Bombyx mori: one gene and its partners. The protein of the gene in region 2 purifies or fractionates together with the protein of the main gene of each other region. This does not show direct contact. Links are inferred from orthologs where the notes say so. Each region holds a gene or a part of one and is shown on either strand. Other genes may lie near its edges.

The links.
Region 1: the proteins of exocyst complex component 5 (region 2) and exocyst complex component 3 purify together in Homo sapiens (affinity purification with mass spectrometry; 7 studies listed by BioGRID and IntAct, counting the BioPlex papers as one, with this or other methods). This does not show direct contact. The link is inferred for Bombyx mori from reciprocal best matches to the Homo sapiens genes EXOC5 and EXOC3.
Region 3: the proteins of exocyst complex component 5 (region 2) and exocyst complex component 8 purify together in Homo sapiens (affinity purification with mass spectrometry; 5 studies listed by BioGRID and IntAct, counting the BioPlex papers as one, with this or other methods). This does not show direct contact. The link is inferred for Bombyx mori from reciprocal best matches to the Homo sapiens genes EXOC5 and EXOC8.

The regions. Positions count from the first base shown.
Region 1 is NC_085118.1:10,556,029-10,559,684, forward strand, and holds part of exocyst complex component 3, read right to left. Parts: intron 3,119-3,656; coding exon 2,864-3,118; intron 2,233-2,863; coding exon 1,951-2,232; intron 1,855-1,950; coding exon 1,672-1,854; intron 651-1,671; coding exon 492-650; intron 1-491. UniProt on the Homo sapiens protein: Component of the exocyst complex involved in the docking of exocytic vesicles with fusion sites on the plasma membrane.
Region 2 is NC_085131.1:6,373,163-6,377,297, reverse strand, and holds the start of exocyst complex component 5, read left to right. Parts: upstream 1-1,312; 5' UTR 1,313-1,523; coding exon 1,524-1,556; intron 1,557-1,643; coding exon 1,644-1,775; intron 1,776-2,650; coding exon 2,651-2,758; intron 2,759-3,532; coding exon 3,533-3,730; intron 3,731-4,135. UniProt on the Homo sapiens protein: Component of the exocyst complex involved in the docking of exocytic vesicles with fusion sites on the plasma membrane.
Region 3 is NC_085122.1:6,419,515-6,423,655, forward strand, and holds exocyst complex component 8, read right to left. Parts: upstream 2,876-4,141; 5' UTR 2,617-2,875; coding exon 571-2,616; 3' UTR 329-570; downstream 1-328. UniProt on the Homo sapiens protein: Component of the exocyst complex involved in the docking of exocytic vesicles with fusion sites on the plasma membrane.

The DNA of each region.
Region 1 (3,656 bases), on a different chromosome or scaffold from region 2:
ACTACAATCTAGGAGAATGAGGCAAGATATTCCACCATGCCTATTGTGTCTCAAGCGACGGTTTGTGATCTTTAACCGATCGACACAAAGCGGTCCGCAAGCCCGTCTACCGATCTCTTCTAATACAAAGTTACTGTCGCATAACGTAGCTTTTGAGATCTTAGTCTGGCAACATGGTCTTAATAAAAAAAAAAGACTTGTCAAAAATACGTGAAACGAACCGGTCGTAGCATTTTAGTTTTACTTAAGTATTGTAAATGTAGTAAATACACGGTTATATGGATGAAAATGTCGTATTAATCGATAACAAGTATTTTCCCTCAAGATCGCAAGATCAATTTAAACGGTAGGCAGCGGCCTGGCTCCGCCCCTGGCATTGCTGAGGTCCATGGGCAACGGTAACCACTCACCATCAGGTGGGCCGTATGCTCGTCTGCCTACAAGGGCTATAAAAAAAAAAGATCCGTCACAGTTACTGAAAAGCTGTTGACCTGCAAGTTCTGGTCGATCATCTGGAAGATGATGACGGGCGCGTGCGTGTGGTACGCGTTGGAGTGCGGCTCCACGTCGGGCGCGCGGTTGGCGCTCCACTCGGCGCGCTCAGACTCCAATGTCTTCTCCATCCACTCCATATAGTTACTTTCCATTTTCTGTGCAGATATTCATTTAGTTTTTTAGATCAAATACAATAAGTGTGTGTGTTGGTGGTGTGATTTACTTAAGTTTCATTATTATTTTTTATTTATTGCTAACATGGGCGGACGAGTTTACGGCTCGCCTGGTGTTATGTGGCCATCCGAGCACACAGGCATGAAACCATGTTAATGTCACCACCTTTCTTGAGACATGAGTTCTAAGTCTCGGTTTCTACAGTGTAATGGTTGCCCCACCGTTCTAACCGAAACGCATTACTGCTTCTAGGCAGAAAAAGACACGATATCCTACCACCCGTAATAATAATATCATTCCTTCTATTTGATATTGTATTGCTCATTTATATCTTTATGTCAATTTTTATTATATCAAGGTTTGAAAGTGCATGAAATCCATGATTATGCCGTTGTGGCTGAGTAGCCGGTTGGTGTCCACTATACCAGTATTGATTGAGTTATGCAGTTATACGAGAATCTATGTCCTGGAGGTTTTTTTTTCTGACTAGATACGTAACATAGATTTCTGTTGCGCGATAATTTTTTGTAGCCTAAGTCCATTGTGACACATCGGTGAGGCGATTAAGTAAAAATGATTCAATTTATCCGCGGCTCAATGTGAACGCGGTCAGCATGCAGTGATGCTTTATGAGAATACTTCATGCAGTTAGCAACTAAATTTGTTGTCTATTTATTTGATGTTTTTTTTTCTACCTAAGCTGATGGTCTTGAGAGACCATTTCAGCGTAACCTTAACTAGTAGGTGAGCTCACGGGGCTCAAACTTGACGTCGTTGTTAACACTAACCCTAGCAAGAGCAGTGTTTCGCAGAATCTACCACCGGACCTACTGAGATCCGGCGCGAAACTCAGTGGGCTGTGTCTAATTTACTCGCCGAGCCCTTCGTCGCAAGCGACGGGTTCGACGAGAACGATGACCGGATTGATGATAGTTATTGCTCTTGTAGCAGATTCCTTGCCCTATACTATTTATGAGCCTCTTTTGCTACCAAAAGGCTTACCCGAAGATACTCGTCTTGAAGTCTTTGCATCACATCATCACTCAGCAAGGGAGGCAGCGTTGTCACATCTATTTTCAATTCTGGGCTGCCCATCAACTCATGTCCTGGGTACGTGTTTAGAACCCAAGATAATAGTGTAACATATTCATTGCCTTCGATGCCACTTTGTACTACGTCTTGTAACTAAAACATTATTATGATTTTGTACATCTCTTTGCTTCTAAAACTCGCTAAACTTCGTAAAATCAAGTATTTAGAAAACAGAAAAAAAGCACTTACACTGGCTGATAAACATGTGTGATACATGTTGACATAGTTAGTAACGATGTCATAATGTGGGGGGAAACAAGGCACGCACAAAGTTTTGACTACCCTCAAATCTTCTAAAATTAGTTGTCGCGTTAACTCTAAGTAGCGAACGAGCCATAGCTTGTTGTCTTCCCGCTCGTCCACACGAGTCCCTTCGATCCGTTGGGCTACAGCACATTCTAGCACTTCGAATGCTTTGTTTTTCCAATTTTTCGGTCGTCCCGGCGGTAGGAAGCCAGACTGTACTTGTTGCTGTCAAATACAATGGACCAAATGAACAGTATATAATGCACAGTAAATAGGATAACCAAATTTAAATAAGATTTATCTATTACTAAGAAAAAACATTCAAACAAACTTAATTCTTTTTAGGTCATCAGATCGACAGACGAGCTCGCGAACCATTTGATCAGTGTTTCAGTTGTCGTTAAAGTGAATTTCATTGGGACTAGAGGTCGAAGTTTCAATTAAAGTATCAATAATGGCTGTCCAACTCATAAAGCTCATTAACTTTCAAAGGCGGTTCAGCCCTTTCAGAAATTAGACAAAAACTAACCACCAATTAAGAAGAAGCCCGCCTTTGAATTTAGGTAAAGTGTAGAATAATAATATTGTATGAGATTCTTGAGATTGATTGAGATTCTTACATCTTGAAAACAAATATTTCGTGAATACGTATTATTTACATAGAATGAGCCGGTTCACAGGATTTAACTCAATTTAATTTAAAGTTAACTTACATATTACTTTGGAAAGTATGGTACCTGCCATATTCTAATGCCAGCATAGACACATTGTATGATACAAGTATACCAGGCATCTTATCACGACGACCCGGCTCATAGACTGTTATTTTAACATGTAAATAAGTTATTATATTCACCTCTAATGCCATTCGATCCCTTTTCTCTTCTCGTTCTATAATTCTCAATGCAGTCACGATAACAGTAGGCTCTTTCCTAACAGTATTCAGTGTTCTAGCTAAGATTAGTTTAATCTGTTTCTCCAGTAAGTTAGAAACTATTTCGACATCTTCAAAATATGCTTTCAACATAATTTTGTCATGAGATGATTGGTTGGGCAGTCTATGTAGCTCATGCAACAGATCATCTCTAGAATTTTCTAAGTCATTCAAACACTGTAAAAGAAACCCAAAGAAACATTTATGACTGTAACTAAGACATAAGTAAATTAATTAACAGAATAAAATCTGAAAAAGTAAGATCAGAATTTTTTTTTAACTAAAATGTTAAAATATAATTTACAACTGATTTATTTGAGAAAAAATTCTATATTATGAACATTTAAAATTATTATCTATCCAAAAAATTCATAAGATTATCTATATATGATCATAAAAATATGATGAAAAAATATGCATCATCTGGGTCATCATTGAATCATTAAATTCTTAGTGACAAAACTCTTAAATATTGGTAACTAAAGGTGAAGCCTTTTAACTAAAGGTGGGTGGCGGCATTCTCGTTATGTTATCCATAAGCTCCGATAATCATTTAAAATCAGATGAGCCGTGAGCTCTTACACCCATCTAAGCAATAAAAAAATAATGACAATAATTCATAAAAGCCAGTAGTTTATAAGTGAGGGTACTTATTCTCTTTTTCATAAAAGTATTACTAAGTGCAGGTGGTATAAAATAAACTCAGCGGCGCGGC
Region 2 (4,135 bases):
GAGATTAGGAATAATCCTTTAATTGAAATACCTAAGCAATTTACCATAAGTAAGTCGGTTTTGCACAGACATGTAACAAGAACGATGAAATCTCAAGGTGGACAAAAATGTGTAAGTAATACATAATAAAATATAATAATATTTGTTCAGAGTGGGGGTATCCACCTGATTAATTCATGGTATATCGGACACACCTAATCTCTTAACCCAGATAAAAATATCAGCCCCTGAGTACTTACTAAGAACAAAGAAATATAAACCGCTTATAAGAAAGCCCGCTCGTTCGAATTTAGGTGCTCACTCTCCCTTAAACAGAATCCTTTAGGACTACAATAATCTCCACGGTAGCGCGGTCTCCGTCAATGTTCATTCGGAGTTGTCCGATTGCGCTGAACTAATTTTAAGTGATGAAATAGATGTTTTTTCTAATTGTCTCACAACTTACAAGAAAAATCTGTCGCGGATAATTTCCCAAGTAAATATATATTAATCATAAGTAATTAAATGTAATCAAGTATTAGTTATATATTTTTATTTTTGTTGTCCATGCACTATCATGTACAACAAAATGTCCATGGACATTGAGAGAAAGTGAGAAAAAGAGGATAGATGCTCTCGAAATGTGGTGCTGGAGAAGAATGCTGCAAATATCGTGGACGGAGTTCAGAACGAATCAGTTAACTCTACAGGAACTCGGCATCAAGCAGCGACTATCCTCCATCGTTCAGGGTCACATTCTCACTTTCTTCGGGCATGCGTCGCGGCGGGGTGACGACTCAGTTGAGCGCCTTGTGGTGCAGGGCATGATAGAGGGTACAAGACCGCGCGGCAGATCACCGTTGTGATGGACCGACCAAATAAAGGCAGCTCTAAACGGTCCCGTTAACGAGTGCACAAGAAGGGCCGCGGTACGTGAGGAATGGCGACGTCTGGTGAAGCGCACCACCACCCGAAGTGATGACCACGACCACTCTGCTAAGAGTGCATGCGACTGATAATAAAATACCATTTTAAACATCAAGAACTACCTTAAAATTGTTCATCAAGTTGGAATTTGTCCCGAATCACCCCATTTTGCGGGTACCACAAATTAATATTAGTACAACTAATTTAATAATCTATGGTACATTATAAAGGACTTGGCTTCGGCTTTAGTGAAATTTTTATTTCAGGATATAATATAAATCATATAAGACCTGGCTTCGGCTTTTTTGAAAATTTATTTCAGAAATTATATAGAACAAATAAGGCGGTATGGGCTTAGATCCCCTTGCCTTTCCTAATAAGGAAATTGAACCAAAAAAAAAATCTATGGTACAATGGTAGGCGTTTGCATAGATAATACACTAAACAACGAAGTCAATTAAGTGTTTAATCTATGAACGAAGTCTCAAATATATTAAGTGTATAATCTATGGAACGAAGTGTTTGTATTCGTAAGGTTTTGGCCAGACACTTCAAAAAACTTCTAATTGGCGTAAAAACCTTAAAAAACGGTAGTGAAATTAAAATTGTATTTCAAGATGATGAACCAATATATGAGAGAATTAGAACAGGTACGTATTTGTTGATCTATAAACCAGTGTAACTAAATATTTATGTAGACAGTAGATATCAGTTTCTTTTTAATTTTTTATTTTCAGGATCCTTTTGATCCTGATGAATTTGTGGAGAGAATGGTGCGACGTAGCATGCAGGAATCCCGTCTCAAAGATGACCAGTTCGACCCCGAAATGATACATGATATATTTACACAAGCCATACAAGATTTAAAGGTGAGTTCTGTGATGATTCTGTGGAGTTATATCTAAATTTAATTATTCTTGTATATTATATTTGGGCTTGTTACTTTAATTGTTTAAATTTTTATTCCATGTTTAATTGCCTCAATGTTCAATTGATGCAGAAGTTAGTTAACTTAAGTCTGTTTTTTGTATCATTAAATGTTTTCAGAGATAATATGAATAGTGTTAATGAATGCCTTTTTAAAAAAATATCTAATTAATAGTTTCTTGGCTAGACTTTCTTAAAAAAATATAAATAAAGCTTTACATTGCCCATTTCAATTGTCTTCTTTAATTTTCTCAAATAATTAATAAGGTTAAAATATTTAAAAAAATGCTAAGTAAAAATGATTCTAAAGTCTTAACTTCTCAAACTACTTTGGGGAGAGTTACTTGTGGAGGGTTCATCACTTGCATCCTTGGATTCGTGGTAGGAGAGAAATTTATTTAATTGTTCTTAGTGGCACCAAATACATATCGGTGCTTGAAAGGCAAACGTGACTAAGCAACAATAACTGCTGTGTGCATAAATGACAGGCAATAACCATATTCGATGCGAAAAAAATATATATTTCTAGGTCTATTAAAATCATTTCAATCCTACAGCTACTAGCTAGATTCTACTACAACTAGATTCATTAAAATAAATTTCAGGTATTTCAACTTTAAATTAGTCTACTGTAAAGTTCACGTATTGTCGCTTAGTCACGTTTGCCTTTCAAGCGTCGCGATTGCATTTGGTTACGAGCTATAATTTTGAGCTCTTGTTAAATTTTATTTTTATGGATAATAATACTAGCGCATTCTTATTTAGAATAAAAGGATGAGGTTTTTTATCTCTACGATCTGATTTAAATTATTATCAGGTTCTTCAAGAGAGGCAAGAAAGAAAATGTGCTAGACTGGAACAGGCAGTGCAGGAAGAAGAAAAACTATATGGTGCTAAGCTATCAGAAATTATGGATCAACACTTGGTATGTACTTAGTCATATTACAACTTACCATGTGTTGAACCCTAAAAAAAAACTGAAAACTAAATTATGATTCTCAGACAAACTCCTCCGAGATCGATTATGATGGCTACTGACAGTATTGCTTGTTATAAGAATCACTAGGTTTACATATCCCACACTGTAAATGTTGTTTGTATAATTTACCTGTAAAGGTGTTGTTTCCTTAAATTAATAAAGCTGCTGTATTTTTAAGCAGTTTACAATGATTGTGTTGTAAGTAAGTATATTCTAAGTTTATTCACGGCTTTAAGTGGATTTTTAAATCTGTCGATTATATTCTATTAAGTATTCCATCAAGATTTTTCCTGAATAACTGACTCAATTTCATATTCACTTACTGCAGTCATGATATCCATTTGTCTGAACATCTTTTTGTAAGGAAGTGTAACTATTCTTGACTCGTTAACGTATTAAACTACTTGTTGCATTCTACTTGAACACATATCTTGATGGCTTTGAATGATGTATTCCAATGATCATGCCACTTTATTTTCTATTTAATGAGATGTTATAAGTCCTACAGCATAAATTTATAACTTATTAAACATTTTATGGCTAATGAAAATAGATTCAACCAAAAACTGTTTAATAATAGGTTGGTAGGCTCGTCTGCCTACAAGGGCAACAAAAATAATAATTATATAATCATTTGTTCAATGATAAAATAACTTTTCTTTGAATTGTGAAAGTTAAAAAAGAAATAATAATTGTACAACATTCTTAATTTCCTTACAGCATTGTGTGGGGGTGTTTAGTTCATTGGACGAACGTATGTCTCGTTGTGGCGGACGTGCGCTAAACGTAGGGGAAAAATTGGGAGCGGCACGAGCACCAAGAGCCAGAGCTGCAGCAGCAAGGGACCTTCTTTCACATTTAACACATTTCCTAAGCCCGGGTCCAGTTATAGTGGATCTATTTAGTGATCCCAACAAGGTAGTTCCTCTCGATCTGTTAATCTTTTTAAAGCCAATACAGATAGCCTAATTCAGTAACATTGTCACTAACAACGAAGGTCAAAGACATTGCACATGTGTTCTTCTTCATTATGCAACTACCGTTTTGTGCATGCAGTGCATGACTTTAGCAAGAACTAGGAAATTATTAATTGTGATATTTTTTGAAAAGAACTATTCCATCTACAATTATTAAACTCCGGTCAATTTTTCCTGTGCAATAGGTATTGAACTTCACAATTAAAATTAAATATTATCTAAATAAATACTACATTTTTTAAGCCTTGAAGTAATGTGAAAACAAGATTAAAATATAAAACTATAGGTATTGCTGTATAAATTATACAAGAGAGGTATACTAAATATTACAGTATCCTTTTATTTG
Region 3 (4,141 bases), on a different chromosome or scaffold from region 2:
ATATAATTTGCTGTATTCTATGATATTTCTTGCTTAAAAAGTTCCTGTATTTACAAATTTAGAATACACCAAAAATATTATTCTGGTAAATATTATTATTATTATTTAAAATATAGATTCTTTTTTTAATATATCACATTAAATATAAGTCTCTGTTTGTTTTATTGTTATAGATGTGTAAATAATTAAATTGTAATACAATTAGGTTTAGTTGCTTCATGTATTTTATTGCTTCAATTTGCTGTTAAATATGGGCGAAGAAATGATAATTTCTCTAGTTATATTTTGTAACATGCAAAATTGACTGCACTAGTAATAAAAATCATAATACTGGAAATATATTTTATTCTTGTCTTTACAATTTCAAAGAACACTTAAACAGATCACCATAAATAATGATTGTATTAAAACTTAATATTCGTAACTTGCATATACATAAAATTTAATTTGATCAGTATTTATATAAACTAACATAATTCTGCTTGCTTACTCTCTATTATATTACAAATTTAAAGCTTCAGCATAATATAAATAATTTCATACATCTTATTTATAGACTATTGACTATTCTCATAAATATTCATTACTTGTGTATTTTGTGATGTTTTTGGATGGTGTAATACTGACACCATAGTTCTTTGCCAAAGCTACTAATTTCTCATTATCATAGCCAACTTCTTCTTTATAACATCTAAGCATTAAAGGCATCACTGTTTCTAAAATGAATTTGAAATTCTTCTTTGCATAACTAATATCGTTGACTGATGCGAGGACAAGCCATGAATTGAATATTGTATAAATGTATTCATCAAGGTTATCCATCATATCTTTGTTCACTAACTGGAGACCTATTTTCTGTATAGTGACAATAGACTTTGTAAACCATATGGTACTACTTGATAAATCTACCCATGTTTCATTAATTACATACTTAGCTAATATAAGGCCCAAAGTTTCCATTTGTTTCAGGAATTTATTGACACCTGCTTTGGTGTGCATATTCACTGGAGTCCATTTGTCTTCAGTGATTTTATTTTTCATAGAGTCAACAGTCTTCTCTTTATATTCTCTCAAAGCTTTTATTATTGGTGTTCTCAAACAACTGTTCAACTGGAATCTTAAATCTAAACCAAATTGACAAAACAATGTACATTGTTCCCTTAGACTCTCAACACAATCCTGAACGGAATCTAATGCACACTGAGGTGTGAACACTTGTTTTATAATCTGACTCATCAATATCCTAAGTTGCAGACTAGCCCAGACTATAAAAGCACTTATTTTATTTTTAGGAAATAGTGAAATAAACTCTGTTAAGGCATCACTCAATGAGCAAAAAAACACTTCACCCACTTGTTTGACATAAGTGTTAATTGACCCTTCCAGTTGCACCCTTTTCACATGAACTTTGACTGTGTAACTGCATATCGTCAAAAACAAGTCACAAGCCTGACTGGTCATATTAAACTTATTGAGTATCAGTACCGGTTGTCTAGTTGATTGGAGACCTCCTCGCAAACTCCAATTATGTGTTACATCTAAATCTTTCAATAATATTTCAATTAAACTCTTTTGCTTCTGTTCTATTTTTTTCAATATATCAACCCTTTGTGGATGGTTTTTAAAATCTTCAGTATTTAAAGCTTTTTGAGCTGAAACCATCAACTCATAGGTCTTTTGAAAATGTCTCTCCACAATCAAAACATCAAGCTCTTCAGTAACATCAGCCAACCACTCAGGCAATGGTGTAATTTGGGGTGATGGCATCTCTTCCACAGACAGACTCGGTGATTCAATAGATTCAGATTTTGATTTTTCTTGACTATCTTTTTTCTTCTGTTTAGAATTTTCTTTTTCAATATACAGTTTTTTTGCTATCTCAAATTTGTCTAGCCAATCTTTTTTTATCGCAAAACTATTGCATTGAAATACTCTGGTGTCTGGGAAGGCTAACACTTTAAATGCTTGTTTCACAGTTCCTAAATCTCTTACATTCACCACTGCTAAATTCTTTATTGGGTAACTCACTTGAAACTTATATCTCATTGGACCACGTCTGTTAGAAATCCAGGATGTTAACATAAGGCAGTCATTAAATAAATATACATGCATTCTTTGTAATGCAGTATTTTCTTCTGCATCTATTTCTAGCAAGTCACCTTCATGAAGCAGAGTTCGGTCTGGGACATCTAACAGATTCATGCATGATTCTACCTTTTCTGTAATGAGATTTAATTTATTTTTTCGTTCCTCTTCTGCCCTCTCAGCCTCGACGTCGTGATTATCAAGAGACTCGCGTGATAAACCGTTCTCGTTACCGAGGATTGAGGCGTGGGAGAGCACAGTCAGCACAGAACGCTGTTCGCTTAACAAATGCGATAGCTTGTACATTTCTGTTTCGAGGTGGGATATCTCCGTCGCAGTCTCGATAAACTGCATATAATTCTCGTAGACATTTTTCTTTAGGGCACTTGCGGTTTCTTCGGCTAAATTTTGTATTTTCTCCTTCTGTTGCTGTAGCTCCTCCCCTCCGACGCAGGATCTAGCGAGGTCTTTTACGTAACGTTCGGGGACGAAGTCTGGGACAGCAAACTTATCCATATCTATCTCGGACATCGTTGCACATGTATTTATTGTATACTTCTTTCGTATTTATCACAAAACACTGGCTCGCACATCATTCGATTCTATAGGTAGGTATCGAACGACAGGACGTTTTCTATCAAAACGATATGTCAAAAATGCGTTTTGTTATCTCAGCTTCTTTTAAAGTCAGTTTGTTGGCAACGCGCTGCCAACGTTGCTATCAAAACGTTTTCTCAAATTTTATGTACAGTAGACGCGCGAGCTTGTCCATCCTGAGGAATGCGGTAGTGCTGTGACCTAGTTAATTATGGTAATGTCGATAATAACTACCGATTTAGTCAACAGCTGTCAATTTGGTTTAATGTAACCAGGTCACTTCGCAAATTATAAAATAAATGCGATAAGTAATGACTTATTTCTTCCTAATAGAGAAAAATATTTTTTAAATTCCAATTCAACTACTATGAGATGAAAAGACAACCAACAGATCAGAGTCCGAATCAGTGTAGGTTTTTTTCTACCTGAACTTGTTGGAAGCGGAGTATTCGTGGTTTATTCACCATGAAATAACACAATAGCGTTAGCGTAAGTTTTTGGTATCGATAAGCGCGCGTCACAACTGTCAAAGACAACACTAGACGTCAAACAAACGCGGGGAGGCGGGGCGAGCTGCCCCCTGCGCGTCGCCTCCGGCCCCGATGTACATGAACTCGCGCGCATACTGTATAGTAATCGGCACGAGTTGTGAGCTTTCGACAAAAGATTTGGGGTCATCTGCCCATCGTACAATTAGAGTCAAAATAAATGGTCCACTTATGTATTTAATATATTTTTTTATAATTAAATTAACTTCGTTCAATTTGGGATTTAAAAAAATATTGTTATGTAATTATGTATTAGTATTTTTTATACTATTAATTTTTTTATTTTTTTTTTTTATTTATTGCTTAGATGGGTGGACGAGCTCACGGCCCACCTGGTGTCAAGTGGTTACTGGAGCCCATAGACATCTACAACGTAAATGCGCCACCCACCTTGAGATATAAGTTCTAAGGTCTCAAGTATAGTTACAACGGCTGCCCTACCCTTCAAACCGAAACGCATTACTGCTTCACGGCAGAAATAGGCAGGGTGGTGGTACCTACCCGCGCGGACTCACAAGAGGCCCTACCACCAGTAATAAAACTGGATCCAACTTATTAATGGATGTTATGAAAAGTAACATCTAGACTATTCTAGACGTAACACCTACCCACCCAAAAATTCAGCTAAGGGCCCACCTGGTGTTAAGTAGTGTTAAAGACATCACAATCTGAAACAACCTAGAGAAACATAAGTCTTAAGGTATCAAAGTCTGCTTTGTATTGTATAATGGCTGTCACACCCTTCAAACTGGAACACATGACACCTTCGAGGCAGGAATAGATTTTAATAATGGCCCTTACCCGTGCGAGCTAACCCTACATTCTGCCACCCATAAATCTACTGCGATGAGTGCTTTGCAGCAGAAATAGGCAGGGTAATGGGCTGGGTCATAAAACTTAAATAAATTATA